2 linked regions of the Cricetulus griseus genome follow. The protein of the gene in region 2 interacts with the protein of the main gene of each other region in a pairwise test. Links are inferred from orthologs where the notes say so. Each region holds a gene or a part of one and is shown on either strand. Other genes may lie near its edges.

The links.
Region 1: the proteins of Ccdc57 (region 2) and protein SFI1 homolog interact in a two-hybrid assay, tested with the Homo sapiens proteins (2 studies listed by BioGRID). The two-hybrid records come from large-scale screens. The link is inferred for Cricetulus griseus from reciprocal best matches to the Homo sapiens genes CCDC57 and SFI1.

Annotation. Positions count from the first base shown.
Region 1 is NW_023276807.1:101,721,859-101,735,140, forward strand, and holds the start of protein SFI1 homolog, read left to right. Parts: upstream 1-6,290; 5' UTR 6,291-6,835; intron 6,836-12,914; 5' UTR 12,915-13,013; coding exon 13,014-13,036; intron 13,037-13,282. UniProt on the Homo sapiens protein: Plays a role in the dynamic structure of centrosome-associated contractile fibers via its interaction with CETN2.
Region 2 is NC_048600.1:133,351,769-133,367,336, reverse strand, and holds part of Ccdc57 (coiled-coil domain-containing protein 57), read left to right. Parts: intron 1-378; coding exon 379-504; intron 505-3,741; coding exon 3,742-3,842; intron 3,843-5,644; coding exon 5,645-5,818; intron 5,819-7,219; coding exon of another isoform or gene 7,220-7,237; exon of another isoform or gene 7,238-7,961; intron 7,962-10,077; coding exon 10,078-10,291; intron 10,292-14,753; exon of another isoform or gene 14,754-14,858; intron 14,859-15,074; coding exon 15,075-15,196; intron 15,197-15,568. UniProt on the Homo sapiens protein: Pleiotropic regulator of centriole duplication, mitosis, and ciliogenesis. Critical interface between centrosome and microtubule-mediated cellular processes. Centriole duplication protein required for recruitment of CEP63, CEP152, and PLK4 to the centrosome.

The sequences.
Region 1 (13,282 bases), on a different chromosome or scaffold from region 2:
GTACTTTTGTTTTGTTTTGTTTTTGTTTTTTGAGACAGGGCTTCTCTGTGGCTTTGGAGGCTGTCCTGGAACTAGCCTTTGTACACCAGGCTGGTCTCAAACTCACAGAGATCCGCCTGCCTCTGCCTCCTGAGTGCTGGGATTAAAGGCATGTGCCACCACCACCCAGCGGAAAGTACTCTTAAAAACTGAGCAACATTCCTAGCCCAATAAATTATTTTCCCAAAGTTACCAAGTGACACTTTCATTTAGTGAAATCTGAGTGTATTTCACCATCCTAAACATTGGTTTCACCTGTTAGAAAGCAATCAAAGTTCCTACTTCTCTGTTTTGTAGAAGTAATTAGATGTGACATTAAAATGAGTTGGGACTAGGGCTGGACATGGTGGCACAAGACTGTAATTGCAACATTCAGGAAACAGATATATCTATGAGCTGCAGGATAGTATGGTCTACATAGTACTAGGCTAGCCAGGGCTACATAGTGAGACTGTCTCAAAAAATAAAAAGCAGGGCCTGGAGAAATGGCCCAGCATTTAAGAGCATAGGCTGCTCTTGCTGAGGATCAGGGTTGATTTCAAGCATGAACATGCTTCACTCCTTTTGTAACTCCAGTTCCAGGAGAGATACCTTCTGGCCTCCGAAGACACTAGGCATACTTGTAGTGCACTATATACATACAGGTAAACCACTAATCCACATAAAATTTAATGAACATAAAAATAAGCAAATAAGAAAAAAAAATAGGGACTGAGGATATAGCTCAGTTGTAGAGTACTAACTTAATATGTGCAAGGTCCCCAGTTTGATCCCTAGCAACCACAAAAAACAAAAACAACAAAAAGCCCTACCCAAAACCAAAGGATTAAGCCAGTATTTGGCTCCCAACTTTATAAATTGGATGGGTACCATCAGCTGCTCTTGATTCATTCAGCATCACCTGATGATGGCCTAAAGGCCAGGAACTAAAACCCCCTTAAAGGACCCTTTATTCACTATTCACGTGCTTGGGAACTGAAGGTGCTGTCAGCTGTGGCTACTGGAGCTTTGAAACACACATGTCCTTTTTATTTTAATTATCCTTTTTATTCTTTAAAAATGTGTATTTTATGTGTATATTTGAGTGTGTTTCATGTATGTATATACCCAGAACCCTTAAAAGTTAGGTGACTCAACTTGAACTGGAGTTGCAGATGGAGTCAACATGTGGATGCTAGGAGCTGCACCCCAGTCCTCTGCAAGAACTTCTGGGTAATCTCTCCCACCCCTAAATGGCCTTTTTATTATGTATGTGCACCACATGTATGCATGGTGCCCTCAGAGGCCAGAGGAGGGCATCAGATCCCCTGGAACTGGAGTTACAAGTGGTTTTGAGCAACCATGTGGGTGCTAGGAACTGAACTTGGGTCCTCTAGAAGAACAAGTGTTCTTAACTGCTGAGCCATCTCTGTACCTCCCTATCATGGCCTCTTAATATGGCTTTGGCTTCAGATTTCAAGGATGGATGTCTAGATATTTGCAGTGTGTTTTTGTTTTGTTTTCTTCCATGCTGACACTTGAATCCAGGACCTTGCAAATGCTAGGAAGGTGCTCACACATGCCAGCTTTGCATTGCCTTTTTTCCTAACCTGGCCTTGAAGGCATTGTTACTTTTGCTATATCACACTTTCTGTTCCTTATAAAAGGACTCACAAAAACTGTATCATGTTCAGGAGGACAAGACTTGACTTCTTTTATATGGGAGAAGTGTCAACTTGTGTTAAAAAGTACAACAAACCACATATGTCAGTGCTTAAGGAATCGTTGCTATCATGGTTGGTGCCTGGAATCAATCACCTAAGTTGTTTGTTTTGTATTTATTATATACAACTATACAGTGTTCTGCCTGCATGCTTGAAGAGTTCAGGAGATGGTGAGCCGCCATGTGGTTGCTGGGAATTGAACTCTGGACCTCTGGAAGAGTAGCCAATGCTCTTAACCACTGAGCCATCTTTCCCTAGGCTTACTCTTTTTTATGAGACAGGGTTTCTCTGTATTGCTTTAGGAAGTTGTCCTGGAACTCGCTCTGTAGACCAGGCTGGCCTGGAACTCACAGAGATCCACCTGTCTCTGCCTCCCGAGTACTGGGATTAAAGGTGTGTACCACAGCCACCCAGGTCCACGTCCAGCCTGTTTTAAAGGCTTTGTTTTAGTTTGTAAAAAAGAAGACAATTACAATTTAGGATTAAAGGTAAAATTTTGCTAAGGAAGGGCACCTGTAAACTTCCACCTCTGTGAAAAAGTTAGGCACTTGCTAAGCCTGTTTCTTTGTTGCTATTTTTTTGAGACAGGGTTTCTCTGTGTAACCACTTTGGCTGTCCTCCCAGAGATCTGCCTGCCTCCCAAGTGCTGGGAGAGTGCCACTACTGCTTCCTGAGTCCTGGGATTAAAGATATTTACCCCAGCCGGGCGTTGGTGGCACACGCCTTTAATCCCAGCACTCGGGAGGCAGAGGCAGGTGGATCTCTGTGAGTTCGAGACCAGCCTGGTCTATAAGAGCTAGTTACAGGACAGCCTCCAAAGCCACAGAGAAACCTTGTCTCAGAAAACAAACAAACAAAAAGATATTTACCCCAAACTGGGCGTTGGTGGCTCATGCCTTTAATCCCAACGCTAGGGAGGCAGAGGCACAGGGATCTCTGTGAGTTCGAGGCCAGCCTGGTCTACAGAGCGAGTTCCAGGATAGTCTCCAAAGCAATACAGAGAAACCCTGTCTGGAAAAAACCAAAGATAAATAAATAAATAAATATTTACCCTAGGCCTAATTACAACTTTGGTTTTATACAAGAAAAATACTTCATGAAGTGATAGACACCAAGAAGTCTGTACTAGTTATTATTGCTATATGTGGTGGTTTGAATGAGAATGGACCACAAAGGCTCATCCCGTGTTGGTGGGGCTGGTTGGGAAGGATTAGGAGGTGTGGCCTTGTTGGAAGAGGTGTGTCACTGGGCCAGGTTTGAGGATTAAAAAGACTGGCACCTTCCAGTGTGCCCTCTCTGGCTCCTGCATGCAGATCAAGATGTGAACTCTCAGCTGCTGTCCCAGTGCCATCCATGCCTGCTTGCTGCCTGCCACTTTGCTCCCCACACGATGATCTCCTATCCCTCTAGCACTGTAAACCCCAATAAACCCATCTATAAGTTGTCTTGGATCTGGTGGTTTTTGGTTTTGGGGGCTTTGTTTGTTTTTGAGACAGGATCTGGAACTTGAATTGTAGATCAGGCTGGCCTTGAACTCGAAGAGATCCACCTGCCTCTGCCTCCCAAGTACTGGGATTAAAGGCATGTGCCACCACCACCCAGCTGGATGTGATGTTTTAATCCAGGAATAAGGAGCACAAGCAACAAACTGTTGAGTAAGAGGACCAGGGATGTGAAATAATGAAGACAAAAGCAATAGCTGGAACCAGGAGGTCTTGAATGAGCTGATGATTGATTTATTTTGTTTTTTTTGAGACAGGGTTTTCTCTGTGGCTTTGGAGGTTGTCCTGGAACTAGCTCTGTAGACCAGGCTGGCCTTGAACTCACAGAGATCTGCCTGCCTCTGCCTTTCAACTGCTGGAATTAAAGGCGTGTGCCACCAAGGCCAGGCTATGAACTGATAATTTATGCCAAGGAAGTTTATTAAGTAGCACAGCATCATATATACTATTTATGGGGATTGGGAGGAATGGCTAAGGTCCAGCAGAGAGCTAAGTCACACATGTTGGCAAAGACAACATAGGATACCTCTGACACAACTCAGGACTGATAACCACAGTCCAGGGAGAAGAGTTGAATCATCAGAAACCACAGCCTTGACTCTTAAGAGGCATCAGACAGGCCTTGCAAGTATGTTCCTGGACAAGGACACAGAACTAAATTTTCTTTATCCTTTCATCATAGCCTCTAAGATAGTCTTGGGTAGGTCTGGTCTCCCCACTGTTATCTCAGCAATAGAAAAGAAAAGTAAAATACACTGTATCTTCTTCCTGAAAGGACCAATGGCTTTCTGTAACTCACACAAAAATACTGCCTGATGCTTCAGTTTGTCATTTGTCACAGCTGAGGGTGATGAATGCACACAATGGGAAGAAAGCATCAGCAAATCAGCTCAAACTCAGAGGGTAGGCTTAGGGGCTGAAGAGGTTGCTCAGCACTTACCGCTCTTGCACATGACTCAGATTCCATTCCCAGCACCCACTTTAAGCAGCTTGTAACCACCTATATAGCTCCAGCTCCAGGGTATCCAATGCCTTGTATTTTCAGGGCACCTGCACTCACACAAAATTTCCCCTACCAGGCACATGCACATAAAAACATATTAAAAGACAGGTACTGGGGCTGGAGAGATGGCTCAGCGCTTAAGAGCATTGACTGCTCTTCCAGAGGTCCTGAGTTCAATTCCCAGCAACCACATGGTGGCTCCCAACCATCCGTTATAAGATCTGGTGCCCTCTTCTGGTGTGCAGATGTACACGGAAGCAGAATGTTGTATACATAATAAATAAATAAAATCTTAAAAAAGACAGGTACTGAAGCCGGGTGTTGGTGGCGCACGCCTGCCTTTAATCTCAGCACAGAGAAACCCCTGTCTCAAAAACAAAACAACAAAAACTGAGGTCAGGCTTTGGTGGTGCCCACCTTTGATCCCAGCACTGGGGGAGGCAGAGGCAGGCAGATCTCTGTGAGTTCAAGGCCAGCCTGGTATACAGAGTGAGTTCCAGAACAGGCTTTAAAGCTACACAGAGAAACCCTGTCTCCTAAAACCAAAAAAAAAAAAAAAAAAAAAAAAACTAACTACTTTAGCAGTACTTCAAGGTGTAACTTCCGGTGAGTTAAAAGGTTGGTTTTCTCTAAAATGTAACTTTATTTTGTTGCCTTTCTTTTTCTAAAAAACACTTTGTTGTTTGACCCCTGGAACTGGAATTATAGACAGTTCCAGGGGAGCTGCCATATAGGTGATAGGAATTGAACCTAGGTCCTCTAGAAGAACAGTCAGTGTTTTTAACCAAAAAGCCGTCTCTCCAGCCCCTTTGTTGGTTCTTTTGAAACAAAGTCTTGCTTTTTAGTCTTGGGTTGCCTGGAATTCTCTATGTAGACTGGGTTAGCTTAGAACCCACCTTCACCTGTTGCCTCTTCAGTATTGGGATTAAAGGTGTGTGCCACCATATCTAGCCAAGTTGTTTTATTTTTGAAACAGGTCTTTACAAATTTCAGACAGTGGCCAGGCACTGGTGACACATGCCTTTAATCCCAGCACTCGGCAGGCAGAGGCAGGCGGATCTCTGAGAGTTCGAGACCAGCCTGGTCTACAAGAGCTAGTTCCAGGACAGCCTCCAAAGCCACAGAGAAATCCTGTCTCGAAAAAAAACAAAACAAAACAAAAAACCAAAACAAACAAAAAAACCCGAATTTCAGACAGTGGTCTTAAAATTTGTAATTTTTCCTGGCTAGGCTTCCTGAATAGCTAGGGAGTACAGGCATGCACTGGCAGGCCGGATTTATGTTCCTATTATCTTTATTTACGTGTGTGTGTGTGTGTGTGTGTGTGTGTGTGTGTGTGTGTATGTGTGTGTGCATGGCTCATGGCTAGAGGTCAAAGGATTACTTTTGACAGCAAGTTCTTTTCTGCTATACAAGTCCTGGGGATTGAGCTAAGGTCCTAAGGCTTAGTGACAGGTGCCTTTACCTGCTGAGCCACTTCAGTCAACTGTATTTAAATACTATTTATTTGCTTGTTATTCATATAGTCTCACTCAAGCCCAGGCTGTACTGAAACTGATTTTTTTCTTCTTCTTTTTTTTTTTTTTTTGTTTTTTTTTCGAGATAGGGTTTCTCTGTGTAGCTTTGGAGCCTGTCCTGGCACTTTCTCTGGAGACCAGGCTGGCCTCGAACTCAGAGAGATCCACCTGCCTCTGCCTGCCGAGTGCTGGGATTAAAGGCGTGCATTCCTCCTGGCTCAGCCTCTCACAGAGGGTTGCCATCAATAAATGATTTTAAAATATTTTGAACTACAAAAATCACCATTTGTAAAAAGGGCAAAAAAAAAAAAAACAACCCCGTATTATGTGAGTTTAATCTTTTAAAAATATTTCAGTATGAGTGTTTTGCCTGCATGTGGGTCAAAAGAGAGCACGCCTTCTATTTATTTATTTATTTATTTATTTATTTATTTATTTATATTTTTCGAGACAGGGTTTCTCTGTGCTGGCACTTGCCCTGGAGACCAGGCTGGCCTCGAACTCGCCTCCCGGGTAGAATTAAAGACGTGCACCACCACGGCTCAGCAGAAAAAGCGCCTTTTTATAAGCCACCGAGAGTGCTGGGCATCTGGATGAGCAAAAAGTGCTCCTAACCGCTGAGCCATGTCTCCCACCCCTTGGTTCTAATCTTCACACACCCACCAAATAGTTTCCCTTGTTTTTAATATGAAATCTCTTAGTCTTTTCTCTTCAAAGATACACCACCAATTGCCGGATCTGATGAGGAGATTACCGACGTGCACCACCACGCCCATGCCAGACACCTGTCGGTGCCTCGCCATTCCGTGCAGGCGTTACTGGAGACCAGTAACCAAGAAGCGCCCATACTTCCGGCCAAGAGAATGGTGGGAAGCAGAGCTCAGAGAGAAACCAGAGGCCTCTGTTGCCCAGGAGGTAGCGCGCGCAAAACTCCACAGAGCAGCTTCCGGCCAGGGCCTCGTCGCCGTGGAGACGGTGGGGCGGGGACGCCGGCGCTGGGCGCGAAAGCCCTGGCCGCTGGCCTTCACTGCAACCTCTTCCCGGCGTCCTCTGAGGAGTCGGCTCCGTCAGGTACGAGGCCATGCCTAGCACCCCCAGCCTTTGAATGGCTGGTCCTCCTGCTTTAAAGCCAGCAGAGCGCGGGGGAGCTGGGCGCTGTGACGGCTCTTTCTCCTGTAGAAGTGTAGGAAATGGTGCCTATCCACAAGGCTTTGGTCTGTGCGTGGAAAAGCGAGCAGAGCGTGCGTGGAATGTGCCCTCCTTGCCCTGGCTGCCCTCGTGCTGCTTTTCCAGGGCCTGTGCATCTTCCTCCCCTGGTGGAGAGCTCTTCTGGGTGATCTTCCGCCTGCACAAAGTTTATTGGCTTACCTAGATCCAGATTGGATTCAGGGGTGTGCCTGGGTGACGGACTCTTTTTGTACACTGATCTCAAGTGACCAAGTCGAGAGCTGAACCCGCGTTGCATTTGTACCACGGATTCTCTTCTGGTATAGTTCCCGAAGGTGTATAGAGGCTTGAATGCCACTGGCACCCGTGCCACCTGTTAGCCGATGACCTTGAGCATCCCCCTGGAAAATGACAACAAATACCTGATGAGGTGGCTGTGTTAAAGTTGGTCGTTCAATGAAAGTGCTGAGAGAAAGTATAGAACCTTAGCTATAAATGTCATCTTAATTGTAGCCCGTGTGCCTTAGGCACTACACATATGTGGTACACAGACAAAACATACATACACATAAAAATGATTAAGTTAAAAATTTTAAAAATACCGCAGCATGGTGGTTGTGCACTCTATTAGTCCCAGAACTCGGGAGGCAGAGGCAGGTGGATCTCTGTGAGTTCGAGACCAGACTGGTCTACCGAGCAAGTTCCAGGACAGCCAGAGCTACACACGGGCTACACAGAGAAACCATGTCTTGAAACAAAACAAAAGAAAAATATATGTGAAATTGGTTAACTGTGGGAAATAGTTTGCCCCAGGGCTACTACCAGTTTGCTGAATGCCAGAAGAGGGGACCAGATCTCATAGATGGTTGTGGGCCACCATGTGGTTGCTGGGAATTGAAGGCAGGACCTCTGGAAGAGCAGTCAGTGATCTTAACCACTGAGCCATCTCTCCAGCCCCCTGTATGATGTTAAGACTTATCTGTATTTAAGCATGTAGTAGTATTGCATTTTTATTTTTTTAATTTTTAATTTTTTTCTGATACAGGGTCTCACTATGTAGTCCTGGCTGTCTTAGAATCAATCATAAGCTGGTCTTGAATTCAGAGATCTTCCTGCCTCTGCCTCCCAAGTGCTAATAATGGGGATGTGTGTCAACATGCTTGACCCTGAACATTTTTGTATAAGCTTGTGTATGGACATGATTTCAGTTTTCTTTGGTGTATGACTAGTAGTGGAATTTCAGGATCAGTTTGTCCTTTGTTACCATCTCATGAGGTCAGTCTGCATGTGCAACTGTGAGCCAATATCTAGCAATCTTGTTTTATCTTGGGCTGTCTTTGTAATTAATATTATGTGTATTTCAACTTAGAAACAAATTCATGTCCCTGTGGAGAATAAACCTATCTCCTAGCCTTTCCAGTACTTTTAAATTTCACCTGTGAGGTTCCGGACATCTTATTTGTTTTGAGACAGGGTTTTGCTACATAGACTGATTGGCCTCAAACTTTCAGTGATTTGGGGGCTGGAGAGAGGGCCCAACACTTAAGAGCACTTATTTTTCTAGTAGAGGACTCAGGTTCAGTTCTCAGCATGCACACGGTGGCTCACAATTGCCTGTAACTCCAGTTCCAGGGGATCTGACACCCTCTTCCACTAATATACACAGAATAAATAAATCTTTTGTTTTTAGAGACAGGGTTTCTATGAGTGCTGGGATAAAAGCCAAGTGCCATCACCACCCGTTTTTCTGTTTGTTTTTGTTTTTTGTTTTTTATTTTTGTTTTTGTAAATAAATGTTAAGAAAAGAGGAAAGCCTGAAGAGCTGCTCCTGTCTCTGGGGTTACAGGTATGTGGTACCATGCTCTGTTTTTCACTGCTGATGATTAAATCTAGAATTCTTTTCATGAAAGGATAGCACTATAAAAACCATCTCCAGCCCTAAATGTAGATTTGATATCAGTAAACAGTTTGCCTGGCATGAATAATATCTCTTTTTTTTTTTTGGTTTTTCGAGACAGGGTTTCTCTGCGGCTTTGGAGCCTATCCTGGCACTTGCTCTTGTAGACCAGGCTGGTCTCGAACTCACAGAGATCCACCTGCCTCTGCTTCCGAGTGCTGGGATTAAAGGCGTGCGCCACCAACGCCCAGCATGAATAATATCTTTTATAGTTCACTTGTTACTTGTTTTCATTATGGTCTTAATCGTGATGATGACTTTATGTTTCTGGAGTTTTGCAAATCACAGTCACTCAGTGCAAGTCACATTCACCCATTAGCTTAGCTACATTGTGTATTATTGTCTTACCTCTTGGTCTCATTGCTTGTGATTGTTTCCTGTGGCTTTGTAACCATCTGCCGACAAGTTGGTAGCTTCAAACAATAATACGTTTATTCCCTCACAACTCTGGAGATCAGAAATATGAAGTTAAGGGTCATCCTCTCTCTGATGGTTAGGGAAGATCTCTTCTATAATTTTCTCTTAGCTTTTGGAATTGCCAGAAATCCTTGGTGTCCCCTAGCCTCTAGACACAAACAAACAAATAAATGTAATTTTTAAAAAAGGTTTATTTATTTATCATATATACAGTGTTTTGCCTGTATGTATACCTGCAGGCCAGATGAGGGCACTACATCTAATTACAAATGGTTGTGAGCCATCAAGTGGTTGCTGGGAACTGAACTCAGGACCCCTGGAAGACTAGCTAGTGTTCTTAACTACTGAGCCATGTCTCCAACAATAAATGTAATTTTTAAAAATTAAAAAAAAGTTTAAAACTGCATGAAGATTCTTATAGTAACATTGATAACTGAAAAATTAATCTGGGGCTGGAGAGATGGCTCAGAGGTTAAGAGCACTGGCTGCTCCTCCAGAGGGTCTGAGTTCAATTCCCAGCAACCACATGGTGGCTCACAACCATCTATAATAGGATCTGATGCCCTCCTCTGGCCTGCAGGGATACATGCAGAACACTTATAGACATAAAAGAAAAAATTAAAAAAAAAGAAAAATTAATTTGGGGGAACACTAAGTTCTCTTGACTGCTAATGACAGATATCAAGGGAAATTAAAGATACTAGAACATTGTTGGGGCTGGAAGAATGAGCCTGTTATATCTTGCTTCTTCTTATTCTTTTTTTTTGTTTGTTTGTTTGTTTTTTTCGAGACAGGGTTTCTCTGTAGGTTTGGAGACTGTCCTGGGACTTTCTTTGAAGACCAGGCTGACCTCGAACTCACAGAGATCTGCCTGCCTCTGTCTCCTGAGTGCTGGGACTAAAGGCATGTGCCACCACTTCCGGCTGCTTTTTTTTTTTTTTTTAATTGTATTATGGCCAGGTGTGATGACTCATGCTGTTTCAAGCAGTCAGGAGGCAGAAGCAGCTGCATCTATGTGGTTTGAGGCCAGCCTGGTCTACATAGTCAGTTCCATGCCAGTCAGGACCACATAGTGAGACCCTGTTTTAAAAAACAGTAACAATAACAACAATAGAACTTTACTGTCAAGAAAGGAATTTAGAAAACATTACACCAAAAGTAGCCAGCTTCAAAGACAGTTCACTTCTAAACATTTAGAGTAGCCAGCCATTTGGAAAGGAAGCTGTGGAGCTTTGTTGGATTTGATGCATTCACTATCAAACATGTATTTATGCATTTAACCGCTACCAAAAACGAATTGCAAATACTTGTGGTGGTAGGTTTTTTTTTTATTTTTTTTTTTATGTGGTGGTAGGTTTTTGTTTCATTATTTGTGTGTGTGTGTGTGTGTGTGTGTGTGTGTCTGTCTGTCTGTCTGTCTGTCTGTCTGTCTATCTATCTGTGTATTTATGTGAAGGTTAGAGGGCTTTTTTTTTTTTTTTTTTTTTTTTTTTTTTTGGTTTTTTGAGACAGGGTTTCTCTGTGTAGCTTTGGAGCCTATCCTGGCACTCACTCTGGAGACCAGGCTGGCCTTGAACTCACAGAGATCCACCTGCCTCTGGCTCCCGAGTGCTGGGATTAAAGGCGTGGGCCACCAACACCCAGCAAGATTTATTTTCTTTTTTCGTGTGTAGGAGCATTTTGCCTGTATGTTTGTATGACTGCACTACATGTGTTCCTGGTGCTCTCAGAAGGCAGAATAGGATATCAAATCCCCTGAAAACAGGAATTACAGGTGTTAGCTACTATGTGGGTGGTAAGAACCAAACCCAGGTTCTCTGTAAGAATATCAAGTGTAGAGGACAACTTTCCTTTCTTCCTTCCTTCCTTCCTTCCTTTCTTTTTTAATTTTTCTTTTTGTGATAGGGGTTCTCTGTGTAGCTTTGGAGCCTGTCCTGGAACTTGCTCTGTAGACCAGGCTGGCCTTGAACTCACAGAGATCTGCCTGTCTTTGCCTCCCGAGTGCTAGGATTAAAGGCATGTGCCGCCACAATCTGACTCAGAAGTAACTTTACTTTTTTTTAAGATTTTTTTATGTGTGCTCATGCTCTATCTGCATGTACACCTTTATGCCAGAAGAGGGCATCAGAACCCACTATATATGGTTGAGAGCCACCATGTGGTTGCTGGAACTTTAACTCAGGACCTCTGGAAGATCAGCCAGTGCTCTTCAGCCCCTAGAAGTAACTTTTTTTTTTTTTTTTTTTTTTTAAAAAGAATCATGTATCCCTGACTACATTACAGATGGTTGTGAGCCACCATGTAGTTGCTGGGAATTGAACTCAGGACCTCTGGAAGAGTAGTCAGTGAGTGCTCTTAACCTCTGAGCCATCTCTCCAGCCCTAGAAGTAACTTTTTAATAATATAAATTAGAAAGAATAAGTGTCTTGGCTATATTTATGTCAGCTGATACAAGCTAATGTTAACCTGAGAGGGAACCTCAATTGAGAAAATGCCTTAATAAGATCCATCTATATGACATTTAATTTCGTTCTTTCTTTCTTCCTCTTTCTTTTTTTCTTTCTTTACTTCCTTCCTTCTTTCCCTTCCTTCCTTCCTTTCTTTTTATTTTTTTCTTTTCCCTTTTTTTTCTTTCCCCCCCTTTTTTATTATTAATTCAAGTTAGGGAACAGGCTTGTTTCACATGTAAGTCTCCTCTCCCTCTCCCTCCCCTCACCCCCCTTTCTTTTTATTTTTGAGACAGGGTTTCTCTGTGTAACATCCCTGGCTGCCTTGGAACTATGTAGACCAGCCTGGCCTCAAACTCATAGAAATCCACTTGCCTCTTCTTCCTAAGTGCTGGGATTAAAGGCATGTACCACCACTGCCTAGCTATAGGACATTTTCATAATTAGTTTCTGATTAGGGAGGCCTAGCCCATTGTGTGTAGTGCTATCCCTGTCAAGGTGATCCTGGGTTCTATAGAAAGTGGGCTGAGCAGCTGTGAGTTCAAGACCTGCTCTTGAGCTAGTTCCAGGACAGCCTCCAAAGCCACAGAGAAACCCTGTCTTGAAAAACCAAAAAAAGGGCTGGAGAGATGGCTCAGAGGTTAAGAGCACTGACTGCTCTTCCAGAGGTCCTGAGTTCAATCCCCAGCAACCACATGGTGGCTCACAACCATCCATTGTGAGATCTGGTGTCCTCTTCTGGTGTGTAGATATACATGGAAGCAGAATGTTGTATACATAATAAATAGACAAATCTTTAAAAAAAAAATTGGGCTGAGCAAGCAATTATGAGCCAGCCAGTAACCAGCACCCCTCCATGGCCTTTGCATCAGCTCATGTCTCCATGTTCCTGCCCTGTTTGAATTCCTGTCCTGACTTCCTTCAATGATGAACTATGATAAGGAAGTGTAAGCCAACTAAACCATTTCTTCCTCAAGTTGCTTTGGTCATGGTGTTTCATCACAGCACTAACAACCCTAAGGATGGTAAGAGACTTTCTATGCTAAGTTAGTAGAATGAAGAAGTAGAGGGGCAGGGAACTCAGAGTGGGAAGGCAGGTATTTAGAAGTGTAACCTCTGGGAGTTTGCAAGCAACTTACTCTCTTTTATCTCTTTCTTGCAGTTATAAGAGGAAGATAGAAGACTTTGGTTCTCAATTATCTGATCACAGAGAATCATACCAACCAGTGGTTGACTTTCCATCAAAAGGGTTCAGCAGAGAATGGAGAAGAAAACTGTCTCCAGGTATGTGATGGAACAGCAAAAATGACAGCTAAAGTTACCATTCAACCACAGCAATCATGAACATAAGCCACCGCACCTGGCTCATGTTGAAATATAATGTTTGGTAAAAAGTATGACATTTCAGCAGCTGCTGCTGGTGGTGGTGGTGGTGAACACCTTTAATCCCAGCACTTGGGAAGGGAAGCAGAGGCAGACAGATCTCTGAATTCGAGGCCAGCCTGGTCTACAGAGTGAGTTCCAGGACAG
Region 2 (15,568 bases):
GACGAACCTGGCAAGCCGTAAGCCTAGGCAGAATGAGGCCAGGCATCAAGAGGAGCCTCCTGCAGTGGATCTGAGCTGGCAGCCCCACCTATGTCTTGTTCCTAGCAGGCTGCATGGCTGCTTCTAAAACCTGATCCCTGATGTGGAGTTGTTTCATCCATGCACAAAGCCTATGGGAGGCAGACAAGTTCTCACTCGGGGTCCCAGAACCTTCCTGTAAGATAACGGAAGCTAGGCTGAGCTGTGAAGGTGGATCCTGAGCGTTGAGGAGAGAGATCAGGGCAGAGGAGAGCCTTCGAGCCTGAAGCCTGGCATAGCAGGAGAAAGGGGTCTAAGTGTGCCAGTGAGTGTATGTTGTGTTCCCTGGGGTTTTGGCAGATCATTTTCTGGCTCTCGAAGCAGAAATTCAAAACCTAAAGCATAAACTTGAAGTCCTGGAAGAGCAGCGACAAGGTGTCAGAGAGCCAGTGAAGACATCCTTGCCCACTGATGATCCACACCCTGGTGAGAACCCCTGGCTATCTGTCCCAGTCCCAGTATGCCCTGTCCCAGTAACACTGACTATGAGAAAATTAAGATGCAGTCCCTGAGGCAAGTCTTCCAAATGCATGCATAACTCCACAGTGTTCATCGCCATCAGACACTCTGTCTCCAGAACCAGGAGTCCCCTGGAAGTCCCTAGGGTTAGGTGGGAGTTCTGTTTCCTCGTGTAAGTAGAATTATGTGCATTTGTCTGTTGTCTTTTGGCCTAAATTGTGTTTTAGTGGACAATGCCCGACTTCACAGTGCTGTGCCATTCACCCTCCGTTAGCAGTTTGCAGGACAGCCCTTCAATGTCATAATCTTTCTTCCTGGTTAGCATCCTCGAGGCTGTGTGGCACACCCTGTCACAGTGTGAACTTGCAGTCTCCAGTGCATTGGTGAGCATGAACATCTTTCCTGGGCTTCTGGAATCCTCATCTGCCCTGGCTGTCATGGTGAATGTATTAGTTACTTTTCTGTTCATGAATTAGGCAACTTACAGAAGGACACATTTATTGTGACTTGCAGTCACAAGAGGGTTAGAGTCTATAAAGACAGGGCTAAGGCAACAGACAGGCATGGCAACTGGAAAAGGGTACTGAGAACTTACATCTCGAACCCCAGCACAAAGCAGATGGAGGGTGAACTGAAAATGGTGTGGTGTTTTTGGCCTCCAGCCACATGCCTCCTCCAACGAGGCCATATCTCCCAAACCTGCCTAAACAGTGCCACTGACTGGGGATCAAGTGTTTGAGCATCTGAGCCTGTGAGGGACATTGTCATCCAGACCTCTACAGTGAGATACTCCAGACCAGCATCTGAGCCTGTGAGGGACATTGTCATTCAGACCTCTACAGTGAGATACTCCAGACCAGCCTAAAAAAGAAAGGTTGGTGGCCACGTGTGGCCTCTGAGAGACCCTGGAGTTCTGAGCAGCAATCAACTGTCAAGTCCCAGACTTTTGTCCCTGGGCTCCTCAGGGCTTTCCACAGATTTCTATCCACAGGCCCTGCCTAGGAGTGTTCTGCCCTTGGTGCAGAGCTGATGTTGGGAGTGGGGCAGGAGCACAGAAGACAGGCACCTTTCCTGGAACAGGCTTGCCTTGGGCCTTCTTTCCATTCTTCAGTGGGAAGCAGTGTGTGCGTGTGTGTGGTGCAGTGTGCTCCCCCCTCGTACCTGAGCAGGGGAAGGATGGGAACTCATGTGGGTCATCCCAGGGCCCCCGTCCCTCGCCAGAGCCTTCTTTGTGCCAGGTTGTCATTAGTGAGAAAACAGGGTGGGATGCAGTCTCTGCTCTGTCACACCATCCTTTCCTGGGAAGGGCCCAGAAACTGGTGCGGCTTCCTGATGGCTGCTGCACCTGGCTTGCCAGGGCTTCATGGAGAACTGCCAGATTTGTGGTCAGAAGTAAGATGGGCTTGTCATTTCATTTCCTTTTTGTAATGATCAGGTCACAGTTTGGGGCCAGGGTTACTCTGGCCTTAGAGCTATGAGTGTTCAGACAATTAAACATTTGTAGAATTCTTCTCTGAAATCCCCAGGGCCCAGAATTTTTCTTTGGGAAGGTTTGAAGTTTAATTTATTTATTTGTTGTTAAGGGGCTGTTTATATACATTGTTTTATTTTTTTGTTTTTTGTTTTTGTTGTTGTTGTTGTTGAGACAGGGTCTCTCTGTGTGGCCCTGGCTGACCTGGAACTCACTTTGTAGACCAGGCTGGCCTCACACCCAGATCCGCCTGCCTCTGCCTCCTGAGAGCTGGCACTAAAGGTGAGCGCCGTCACCGCATGGCCATATTTTCTTTTTATGTATGCTTGTTACATTATACTAAGATATTATCCATCTCCCCGAGTTTTCACACCTTTGGGGTGAAGTTTCTGATCCTATCGGTTTTGCTCGTTTGCTTCTTTGAGATGGTGGTGACCCTCCAGCCTCAGCTTCCTGAGTCTTAAATGTTGGGAAACATCTCCCCCATGCATCATAGCACAGTTTTTGTTTTAGTTCTCTTTTATTCTTTTTTTTTTTTTTTCTTTTTAAGAGACAGAGTTTCTCTGTGTAACAGCTTTGGCTGTCCTGGAACTCGATCTGTAGACCAGGCTGGTCTCGAACCCAGAAATCTGCCCACTTTCGGCCTCCTGAGTGCTGGGATTAAAGGCGTGTGCCACCATGCCTGTCATCTTTGCTTCTTTCTTGATATCATACTCTAGAGTGTAGAGTTATTTATTTCTTCACTTACTACCTTTACAAAAGCCAATCATTGGTTTTGTTTGTTAGTTTCTGTTTCCTCAGTATTTAATGTTAATTTTATTCTATCCTTCCTTCTAGATTCACACACTGATCTTTTATTTCTAAGATATGTACCTAATGCTATAAATGTCCTTTTTCTTTTTTTATACAGTGCTAGAATGGAACCTCGTGCCTGGCACACAGCGACCAGCTCTCTGCCTCTGAGCTCTAGCCATAGCCAGTTTAGGTTTTAGTGGGGATTTTTGTTTTTTGGTTTTTTTGTATTGTTTTGTTTTTACATGTATGGGTGTTTTGCCTACATGTGTGCCTGGTGACTGCAGAGGCTTAAAAGGGTGTCAGATTCTCTGGAACTGAAATTACAGATGATTGTGAACTGCCACGAGGGTGCTGGGAACCAAACCCTAGTCCTCTGGAAGAACAGAAAGTACTCTTTTTTTTTTTTCTTTTGGTTTTTTTGAGACAGAGGATAATGCCTCCCTTGGAAAATCACCTGCTGGCCTTGAACTCACCCTGCAGACTCCTGAGTAACTGGGATTTACAGTTGTGAGCCACCAGGCCTAGGTGCTGTGAGTTCCCTTGGAAGGATAGCTTTACATACATTCCTTAAAGTTGTTTTTACCATTCTGCTCAAAATAACTTGGACTATCAAGTGTCACTTCTTCTTTGCCCCAGGTGCTATGTGAGCATCATTTTTTTTCTTAATTTCCAAATAAATGTATTTAAGTGGGAAAACTGATCTGACATGGTAAGGCTGGGTTTCATCCTATAGTCCTGCTCTCTCTTCATAAGATTGCACTAAGTAGTGCATCTCTGATCTTTCTAGGGACCCAATCCTTTGATTCAGGGATGGACATATTTACCTGGAGGTCAGTTGGAAGCTTCAGTAGGCCTCCATGGGGAAGAAGGCTCAACTCCCCGGGGAGACTGTTTTTGTTTCTGAGGTCTGAGCTGAGAGCAACTGTTCTTATCTGCAGGGGCAGCTGTGACAGACCAGGCATGCATTGCATTAGCACTCAGAAAACTCGGAGACAGAGTACATCTCTTGAACTTGCTGGTGACACAGCTCAAAAAGAAGGTGAGATTAGCCCTTAACACTTAAGGTTGTGCAAGCAATCCTACTGAAGAACCGGTCCAGATGAGAGGTGCCAGGTGTGACCTCACTGACCTTGGGTGTTTTGGGTGTCTTCCCAACTTCTCTTTTCTTCAGAACAAAGGACTGTGCTGTGCAGTAGCTGGTTTATCTCATGTGTGGCTATGAATTATTCACAGGGAAGCCTGATATGGTAGGTGTCTGTAGTTCCAGCGCTCAGGAGGTAGTCAGGAGGATCAGGAATTCCAGGTCATCCATGGCTACAGACAGAGTTGGAGGCCAGCCTGAGACACATGAGACCCTTTCTCAAAACAGCAGCAACAACAACAAATGCACACACACATACACACCTACTCACACATGCACACATACATTTACACACACATTTCAATGCTGTAGACAAGTAATAAGAATTTAACTTAAAGCATTTTAATTTCTCTTTGATAACTAAAGACAGTTGGAATAAACTGGGTAAAATATTTACCTCCAGTCAGGTATGATGGTGCATGCCATTAATCGTAGCACTTGGGAGGTGGCGACAGGCAGATCTCTGTGAGTTTGAGGTCAGCCTGATCTACACCAGTTAAGTTCCACACCAGTCAAGGCTACATAATGAGATGCTGTCTAAATAAAAACAGGTTTACCTTCAAGTGTTTTCATTTTTTATTTAACAGTGTCTGATCACCTAATGGTCCCTTTGGTATATACAAATTAGTCACCAAAGTCTCTGGAGTAGAAGCATTCTTTTTTGTGTTGTTGTTTTTGTTTTTTTGGTTTTTTGTTTTTCGAGACAGGGTTTCTCTGTGGCTTTGGAGGCTGTCCATGAACTAGTTCCTGTAGATCAGGCTGGTCTCGAACTCACACAGATCTGCCTGCCTCTGCCTCCTGAGTGCTGGGACTAAAGGCGTGCACCACTACCGCCCAGCTCTTAGAAGCATTCTTTTAATGCCCTTCACCTAGACTGGGAAGCCAGACTACAAAGAAGTGTATTCCCCATCTGCCTAGTTCTCCTCCTACCTGGACCTATGGCCTGTAACTTCTCTTTCTGAGTTTCATTTCTGCCACAGCCACTTCTCCCACTGTCATTTATTTTTTTGAAGCATAGGTTCTCTTGTAGCCCAAACTGGCCTCACACTTGCTGAGAATGACCTTGAATCTCTGATCTTTCTGCCTCTATTTCCCGTGTGATGTTGGCATCTGAGCCCAGGGCTTCATGCACGCCAGGCAAGCACTCTGTCCACTGAAGTACGTTCCCAGCCCGTCACTCCCTTTTGCTGCCTCCCCCTCAAGATCACTTCCCTCTTATCTCCTTCTGCAAACATCACCACTCCCATTTTTTGGTCTTTTGAAATGGTCTCACTACATAACCCTGGCTGTCCTGGAACTCGCTTTATAGACCAGGCTGGCCTTGAACTCTCAGGGATCCACTTACCTTTACCTCCCAAGTGCTGGGATTAAAGGTATGGGCCACCTTGCCTGGCCTGTCATCCACCCTTTGGATAGAAAGGACTTCCTAGTCACCAGCAGTGTTCTAGAGGCAGTTGCATCTTCCTGGGAGCTAGGGCTCAGGATAGAGTTGTAACCTACTTTCATTCACAAATTCTCCCCAGTAAGCCTTCATGTCCAGATGGATTGCACAGAAGTGAAACACACCCTGTAGAGCCAGAGAAGGAACTAGCCATTGGCCTTGCTCCGCCCCTGCACCTCATACTCCTGTCCTTCCTGGGACAGTCCCCCCCCCCCCCCCCGACCTCTGCCTAACATTGCCTTCTGAACTGGTTGCCTAGCTGTGGCAGAAGCCCCTGGAGCCGGTCACTGTCCAGCATGAGCTCCCCGGTGAAGTGGACCAGGTGCACCTGGAGGTTGTGGAGCTGCAGAAGCAGGTGGCTGAGCTGAGGAAGCATGTCAAGGTGGCCGGGCCCCGAGGAGAGCCTGCATACACAGAGCAGCTGCAGAGAGAGGTGGGTGCTGGGCAGGCATGAATTTCCTCCCACCCTAGCCTGTAACATGCTTGCTGGCACGTGTTTGGGTTCCCGATCTGTGAGGCCAGATGTTGGTGTCCAGAGGTGACACCCCAGACACCTCCTCTTTTTACCCACGGTTTTCCTCTGTGAGCTCACACCTCTAGTTCTTTTTTTTGGCTGGCTGTACTATTGCTGGAATGGAGCCCATGCCCTCTTTGATTGAAAAAGTCTTCCTTAGGAAACACACTGTAGAGTATGCATATAGACAGGCCTGGGCTGACAGCTAAGAAGGCTCTATGCACAGACCCAACCTGCCTGTGAGAGAAGAGGCCACAGAGCACTCAACATCTGGCCAACACTATGGCCAGGGCTGAGACATGGTCAGCTGAATGTCCACCAAACCCTGCGACAGAGTCCTTGCTTCCCACTGAAGGCCCCAGTGGAACCATGGATAGGAAGGGCGACAGCCCTGTTCCCCTGCTGTGTCGCCGGGGCTCTGTGAGTCCTGCCGGAACCTGGGGTGATGTGTACTGACTTACAGTGACCTTCTGGCCCTGCACTGACCTGCTGTGATCTCCAGCGAGTGACCGGTGATATGACTCCCTGCCAATTGACTTGCAGTGACAATAGTGACTTATGGTCACCTTTGGCTATCTGTTCTGACCTATAATGGCTCATGGCCACCTGTGGTTACCAATGGTGACCTGTTAATCACCAGAGGTCATAGGCATTCAGCTGAAAAGTTGAAGATAGTATGTATCCTTGTGGCCCCATATTACATGTACAGGAGCATAGCAGATAGCCTCTGGTATGGTCTGTGTCTAAGAACAAGCAGAAAAAGAAACAGAACAGGGTTGGGGGCTGAGGGAGCCCGAGGTTCTAGCAAAAGACTGAACTGGCCAACATTGAAGTAATGAGCAGTACTCGTTCCCAAGGGTTCTTGCACCCAGCCCTCCCCAGGCCCTCAGACCTCCCCACAATCCAGCAGTCCAGGGGGAACAGGTAGGTCAGCACTAAATATACACACTAAATTTTAAATAGTGAGAGACTGGGTTAAAGCGGTAGACCCAGACCTTAGCAGTCGCATATGTAAAACACAATTTTCAGGTATCTCTGTTCCTGTTGGGTCTTGGTATCTATGATTTTGGTACACTGTGAGGTCATGGCTGGCAACCACTGCCCAGCAGCATGTCCCCTACCTGAACAAAGTGTTAGGTATGCAGGAGAGGCCAGGAAGTCCGTGCTTCCAAGGGAAGCTAGAGCCATGTAGTGATATGTAGAGAAATGGTTGAGACACACACTTGCCCATCCCCACTGTCCTGAGGGCCTTGCAGCCGCCAGCACCCATGTCCAAAGGTAGCTCTAGAATCTCTCGCTCTCTTCCTTTAACAATGCCAGTTCCACATGGATGTATGAGGAGGGTACAGATAGCAGCTGTGCGGGACTCCACCTGACCATCAAAGCCAGGAAAGACTGCAATCCATCTTCATAGGAAGTCCTAACGTGATCTGGTTCAAGTGACAGACACGTGAAGACAGGGAGGCCAGAAAGATGCTGCTGCCAAGCGTGAGGCCCCAAGCTCCATCTCTGGGACCTACATGGTAAAAGGAGAGAACCAACTTTACAGCTCATCCTCCACAATGTGCACACCATGACACGCACAGCAGCCTATCCGGACAGACAGCTGTAACACAAATGACTTAAAACAAGAAAATGTGAAGTGACTCCCCCACAGAACATTAGTGAGTAGACGAGACAGACAAGGCAGTTGAATGTAGGTGTGGAGCTTGAGGTAGATGCTTGCTGAGAGCCAAGGTACCCTAGCCTCCGTCACAGCGCTCCTCCCCCACCCAGTCGACCTTGATTGCAAGGTGAAAAAGTTCTTTCATTGTCGAAACCTAAGGACACCAGCTTGACCAACGTCAGCACCAGGACACTAGCATCTGTGCCTAAGTGGAACATACCCAAGACTCACTTTTGGGGTCCCACCAAAGCACAAAACCTGAACCTAAGGAAGAGGTGATCTCAGACAGAACCAGTGGAAGGACATCTACGGATTAGCCCCTCTGGACACCTCAAATGTCAGTGTCATAAAATAAAAGTGAAGCCTGGGGGCCGGGCGGTGGTAGCGCACACCTTTAATCCTAGCACTCAATTGGGAGGCAGAGGCAGGCGGATCTCTGTGAGTTCGAGACCAGCCTGGTCTACAAGAGCTAGTTCCAGGACAGCCTCCAAAGCCACAGGGAAACCCTGTCTCGAAAAACCAAAAAAAAAAAAAAAAAAAAAAAAAAAAAAGTGAAGCCTGGGAAATCTTCCAGCTATAGGCAAGGACACCTGCACATTCATACTCTGGGGGTCTTGGACCCTGGAAAGGGATCCAGCTTGGAGGGACGTGCTTGGGAGGCCAGGTGGGGTCACCAGGATCAGCAGTGTGCCACAGTCCTTGTGCAGGACTGCAGTGCCTACGTGGGAAGGCACACTGTCTCCCCGCCTCCCTCCCCCCACCCCCCCATGCTTCAGGAAGAGGCATGTGTACAGAGGTGGGCAGGGAGCGGGGCAATACCTTTCCCAAGGCAGAAGTCTGAGACAACCCCTCCAACTCACCTTTCAGCTTCTATCACAGGCTAGTCTTCAGCTGGCGGTGGTGGCACACACCTTTACCTCCAGCACTGTGGAGGCAGAGGCAGGTGGATCTCTGTGAGTTCAAGGCCAGCCTGGTCTACAGAGATAGATCCAGGACAGCCTTTGAAGTGATAGGAATCTCCTACTAGGCTAAGGTAGAACCTCCCTCCAGGTCATCCCACCTCTCTTAAGACCTGAGTTCCTTTGTATTCTAAGGCCCCTTGAGATGGGGAATGCTTGGGCCTCTAGTGTAGTAAGGCCAACACTCTCTGGGAGTATTGTGTACTTGCCTGTCTTGGTCCTGTAGGTCCATAGGACCTCCTCTAACCCAGAGTTCCTGCCTCTGCTGTGTCTTTCTGTGAGCCCTTCAATCCCTTGTGGCCTGCGGCATATGCCAGAAGCAGCTGGATGCAGTCACCTACAGGTGCAATCACCCACATTCTCCAGGCTACCTAGGGAACAGTAGCACCCAGAGGGCACAAGCACATGCCAGCTCTGGCAAGGACCAGGAAGCCAGAGCAGGCCATGCAGGGTGTTCCAGGGCATGGAGCTCTAGCACCCAGAATAATAGCAGTTGCCATGGCTTCTCAAAACTGTCAAGAAGAGGTGGGCCATGCTGGAGCCTGGTCTTCCCGATGCCCCTGTTCTCATCACATTGTGACTGGATTTCTGCAGTGTGTCCAGGCTGGGCTGAGTGAGGGGCACATGGAGCTTCCAAGGGGTTCATATCTGTTTAACCCTGGCATAGTGCACCTCCTCCCAGCAGCCTTTGCTTTCTCCTGTACTTTCTCAGGGAAGGGAGGCCTAACAGGCAGGTGGTGAAGGGGTGAGCCAGAGGGGAGATGAAAGAAGGGGAGAAGGAGGAGCATGCCAGCCCTTGGGCAATGGGGAAGGACATTAGGAAGGTCCAGTCAACACAGGCCAGAGGCAGCAGAGTGGGGCCCACAGCAGTGAGAAGTGGCTTGGCCACAGGGCCCTGTGACCACACAGGGCTCAGGCTTTCCAGGCCTAGGTTACTGCTAGAGGCTGATGGGAGGCCTTTCTTTCTTCTAGAGCAAAGCCAAATGCAGATGAGTGTAAATTCTCTTAGTCATCTCCACTTGAAAGACACAAAGCTCAGCAGGGACTCCTGGGGTAAAAGCTCTGGGCTTGCAGGGCGCAGGAGTAGGGAGGCTGAGAACTAGGCAACTCTCTCCCATCCCTGGGAGAGAAGTAGCTCACTGAAGTCTGCGTGCTGTTCCCAACCCCCAACTCAGTTAAAGCATGGGGCATAGTCACTCTTTTACCCCCAACTCAGTTAAAGCATGGGGCATAGTCACTCTTTCTTTTTCCCCCAACTCAGTTAAAGCATGGGACATAGTCACTCTTTCTTTTTCCCCCAACTCAGTTAAAGCATGGGGCATAGTCACTCTTTCTTTTCCCCCCAACTCAGTTAAAGCATGGGGCATAGTCACTCTTTCTTTTAGAAGGATGTCACCAGTGAGCCCCCTAGCCGTGGTGATTCTGAGAGGGCAAGTGAGCAGCTTGGTGGACCACATACCAAGCTTACCCCCCCCCCCAACTCCCGGCGTGGTCTCCAGCAGGCTCTCTGGAGTATCCCTCAGGACTGTGTCTTGGTTGGGTTTTGTGTACAGGGCCTGACTGACTGGAGACCCATGGTCACAATGGACCAGACAGAGTTCACTAGTCTCCCCCAGGAAGGGGCACAGCCTCCACAGACCCTATCTGTGCCACATCTGCAAAAGAAACTGAAAGATGCAGCTAGGAAAATACGCAGCCTCAGCCTAGAGAGGGAGCAGCTTCTGGAAATGGGGAACAGACTCCGAGCAGAGCTGGGCCATCCTAAAGGTAGGCACCTGGGAAAGGTGGTGGGCCAGGCCACAGTTGGGGTCGTGCCAATGGGGAGGGAAGGTGGTGCCATGGTTCTGCCTGCCACAGGAGGCCAAAAGAAAGGAGCTTCCTGGCTTGCTTGCCACAAGCCTGGGGCCAGAAGGAGAGCTACAGGCTGGCTTCACAGAGGCCACTGGTGGTGGAATGGAGCCAACCAGAGGCCTTAGGCACAGAGCAGGGCTTCATCTCAGCACTGGGTGTCCCTTGACCTACTGCTCTGGCCACATCTGGAAGAATCAGCCATGGAGCAGCTGAGGTCCTGTGAGGCAAGCAACAGGGCAGTTCCAGACCAGCCCACTGTGGGTGTCCCCAGATAGTACAGCATTGTCTATAGATACTCAGTTGATTTCCTACAAGAAACAAGTATTATTTGAGTCCCAGGATTTTTTGTTTGTTTGTTTGTTTGTTTGTTTGTTTGTTTGCTTTAAATGTAAAACAGATGGGTATAGTGACTTGTGCTTGTAATCCCAGCGCCCAAGAGGCTGAGACAGAAGGATCACAAAGTCCAGGCCAGCCTGGACTATGGTGTAAGACCCTCTCTTAAAATCAAATTAGGGCTAGATCTCAGTGCCCACTGCAGGACTGAGACCAAGACCAGCCAAGGCTCACAGCCCTGGGAATGGGAATATAAATATATAAATATAGGGATCCCCAAATAGTCCCTGTTACTACAGGCCAGGCAAAGCGGATATCCATTTGGGCTACCTTTTCCCTCTGTTTAATGCTGTCTCTCCCCCAAATCAGAGCCCAGCAATAGTCCCTGCCTCTTAAAATGCTGCCTCTTACCTTCCGTAACATCTGCCTTTGTTTATTTGTTTGAAGATTTGTTTTTATGTGCATTAGTGTTTTACCTACAAGTATTTCTGTGTGAGGGTGTCAGATCCCCTGGACCTGGAGTTACAGTTAGTTGTAAGCTGCCTTGTGGGTGCTGGGAATTGAACCTGGGCCCTCTGGAAGAGCAACCAGTGCTCTTAACCAATGAGCCTGGGTTTTGTTTTTTGAGACAAGGTCTCATATAGCTCAAGTTGGCCTCAAAAGAACTCCCTGTGTAGTCAAAAACAACTTGAGCTTCTGAGCCTCCTGCCTCCGCCTCCCAGGTACTGATGGGTTGCCAGCTTGAACTAACACACTCAATTTTCTGTTGGCTGAGGATCAAACCCAGGGCTTCACACATGCTAGGCAAGCATTGCACTAAGATACATCCCTAGACCTGGTACCTGAAGTTTTAATCCAGCACAAGGGAGACTAATGCAGGAACATTGTGAGTTCAAGACCAGACTGTGCTACAGAGTGAGACCCTTATATAAAAAACTAAATCAAGGGATTGGAGCTATGGCTCCACATTTAAGAGCACTTGTTGCTCTTGCAGAGAGCCTGGGTTTGGTTCTAGCCCCCACTTGGTGTCTTACAACTATCTATGACTTCAGTTCTGGGATATCCAACACCCTCTTCTGACCCCATAAGCACCAGGTATGCGTGTGCACACATGCAGGCAAACCACTCATACACATAAAAATAAAATAAAAAAATAAATCTAGGTTTAAAAAAAAAAACAAGAATTACAAGAAAACAAAAATGAGCATCTGGGGCTAATCCACATTTGGGTGACGATGCCAGCGCCTCTTTGTATATGCTCACTTTTTCCAGTTCACCACGTGCACGCCATGCATGTTTGCACTCAGCTCACACCCTCATCCATAGACTTCCAGGTACATGGTGTGCACACAGCCTGCTTTTCCTCCAACAGAGCACGCTGTGCCTCTGGAGTCATTAGCAAGCTGATTCCTAGAAGAGAGGGGACAATGGCAGCATTGATTTCTTCCTCCTTCCGGTGGCCTGTTGGTGGCGTCTGCCAGCAGCTTAGTGTCTGTCTCCCACAGACTGCTCTCTGCCATCCTCTATGAAGCTATGAAGTGCTGGAAGATGCTCACAGCAGAGGATTAGAGTCCCCTTTGACCACAGCCCCACAAAAAGTAAATGTTCACTAGAAGATCGCGATAAGGAAAACCTCTCATTGTTTATTATGTTGTTTACTTCTGGTTTGTATGCCAAGTATCAAACCCAGGGCCTTATGCATGCCGGTCACGTGCTCTACCACTGAGCTGCATCCCTCCCCAGCCTTGCCGGTGAGAATTTTTTTTTTAAAGATTTATTTATTTATTATGTATACAGTGTTCTGTCTGCCTGCACGACAGAAGAGGGTACCAGATCTCATTACAGATGGTTGTGAGCCACCATGTGGTTGCTGGGAATTGAACTCAGGACCTCTGGAAGAGCAGCCAGAGCTCTTAACCTCTGAGCCATCTCTCCAGCCCCGCCGATGAGAATTTGATTCATCATGAATGGTTTGGGGAAAACCTACCTTGCTAGTGGCCTATGGCGTCCTATGATACCTGCTTATGATCCCAGCACTCAGAAGGCCCAGGCAGGAAGATCATGAGTTCAAGACCAGCCACAATCAAAAGTAAAATAGAAGACGACTGGGGCCCCAATTAGCCTCCCCTGTGGTTACAGTTGCTGTGGTTCTGCTCTCCAGAGCTCGTGTACACAAGCTGTCAGGTCTGTGTGCTTAGTAATCACAGTGGCACACGCATCCAGAAGCCTACTGCCAAAATACATTAATTGTGAAGGAATAGCTTTAGCAGGAAGTTCACCTGATGAACCGATTGTATGAACTGTTATAACCCTGCTGCTGTGCATCTCTGGGCCCTGGCAGCAGCAGTCGTCTTCACTTGGCACCCTCAGACCCCACTAATGGCCCCTGCACCTCCTTTGGAGGAGACCTGAATTGCATTTCACCCTCTGAGGCTTTTCTTTTAGCTGTTCCTTTAGCAAAAACTTGTGGGCAAAGCCTTCATCAGATCTCCATGTCTGAAAGGTGCCCTGGTGTAGCAGCTGCCTAGAGCCACGGCTGACCTGGAGCTAGAACTCTCAGTTTGCTTTTGTTTTTGAGACAGGCAGGGTCTCACTGTGTAGCCCAGGCTGGCCTCAGCCCCCCATGTGCTAGAATCACAGATATGTAAGCCAAACCTGGTTTCTACAGTCTGATTTTAGAGAAGTTTCTCACGTCTCCTAAACATATAGTCAGCTACCAGTCTGGTCTTGGCTCCTTGGTGAAGGGCATGTTCTACAGGATACATTGCTTTGTTTTGATCTTTTTGTTTGTTTGTTTTTTGTTTTTCCGAGCCAGGGTTTCTCTTTATTACTTTGGAGCCTGTCCTGGAACTTGCTCCATAGACCAGGCTGGCTTTAAACTCACAGCATGGGGAAACAAGGCCCCAGGCCACTCAGGCCTTGTCCTTAAACGGCATCCATGCCTCTTAGCAAAGGCCGTGAACGCTGCAGCTATAAACATAAGTGACCCTGCTATAGTGGTGCACGCCTTTAGCCCCAGCACTCAGGAGGCAGAGGCAGGCGGATCTCTGAGTTCGAGACCAGCCTGATCTACACAGAGAAAGCTCCAGGTAGCCAGGGATGCATAGTGAGGCCCCCTCTCATGTCAGTCATCACCATCTTTATGTCAGGCCAGGTGTCATAGCTCGTGGGAGACTAAGACAGGAGACAGATAACTGTGGGCCATCCTGGCCTACAGAGCAAGACCTGTTTCAAAACAAAATAAAACAAAAAAAGCTCAAAGATGTTTAGGTTAACTTAGAAAAACAAGTCAAATTAAATGAATAAATCAAATTATTCATCTGATTTCACTGTCATTTCTCAATGAAAGAACATAGAATCATTATGGCTATAACTTCTAAGTTTATACACATAAATTTTCCCTCTTTTGTTAAGGTTTTTTATTTTATGCATATGAGTGTTAAAGTTGCATGTGTATCTATGTACCATATTCGTGCCTGGTACTTAAAGAGGCCAAAAGAGGGTGTTGGAAGCACCAAAACTAGAGTTATACATGGTTTTGAGACACTGTGTGGGTGCTGGAACTGAACACAGGTTCTTTTTAAGAGCAACAAGTGTTCCAAATAGCTGAGCTGTCTCTCTTCAGCTCTCCCCCCCCACACACACCTTTTTAAAGGGCTTTGCTGTGTCATCCAGGCTGGCCTCATCTTCAGCACCCACAGCATCAGGGACAAGTGCGAGTGCGCGTGCTTGAGCGGAGGCCCTTCCGTATGTTGTGAATGTTTCTCTTATTGGTTGATGTGTAAAGCTATTTCCGCCGATGGACAGGAAGGATGTAGCAGGTAGGAAGTATAGTCTGCCAGACTATAATTGTGAGAAGAGGAACTCAGGGGGACGCCATGTAGCTGTCAAGAGAGCAAGAGATGCAGGTATCACCAGTAAGCCAAGACCATGTGGAGATACACAGATTAATAGAAATGAGTTAATAATTAAGAGAGAGCTAGACAATAAGAAGCCTGAGCCATTGGCCAGACAGTTTATAATTAATATAAGCCTCCATCCACAGACCCCTGCACAGGCACATGTGTTCCTTGATGCACTGCCCAGAGGCCTGTTTGAGTGACCGTTAGCAAAATACCTTCCTTCCACTGCTCTGTGCAGCTGTCCGAAGGTTAGTGTTCCGGGTTGGGATTAGGCTGGAAATTACACTGTGTGTCCCTGAGCTCTGCTAGGGGATGGTGTGTCACAATTCACACATGACCTCTGCTCCCAAGTTCTTTGGAGTAAAGGTTGCTTTGGTTTTGAAAAGTAGTCTGCTGTCCTTTGTGTTCAAGAAATCCTGTCTGACACACACAGGGAACCAACCCTTTCCTCATCCCATTTCCAGGGAAACTGACTCCTTGCACACTTCCTCCCACCTCTGAGTCCCGGGACCCCCGTGAGAGGCCTGAGACACCTCTAGACCCTGGCCTACCTTTGAAACAGTTGCAGCCCCACTCAACAACTCAGGTAACTTCTTCATCTAAGAGATCTGTTAACACTTCCCTAAGTATGGGTTTTCATTAGACAACTACAGAAGATAGCAGAAGAGCCTCTCGGTGCTGGTGGCATCACACTCTTCCTACTCCTTTGCTTTTTATTTGCTTTGGCTTTTGGAGACAGAGTCACACTATGTAGCCCAGGCTAGCTGGAACCCTGGGCCCTCCTGCTCAGCCTCCTGATTACACAAGTGCCCTTCCATGCCTGCTCTTGGATTTGTTTATGGTTTTAAGTAACGAATTGTACATATGATTTACTATAGCTTTACCCATACGGGTATTACATTTTTACTTTGTTTGCTTTTCAAGATAGGGTTTCTCTGTGTAGCAGCTCTGGCTACTA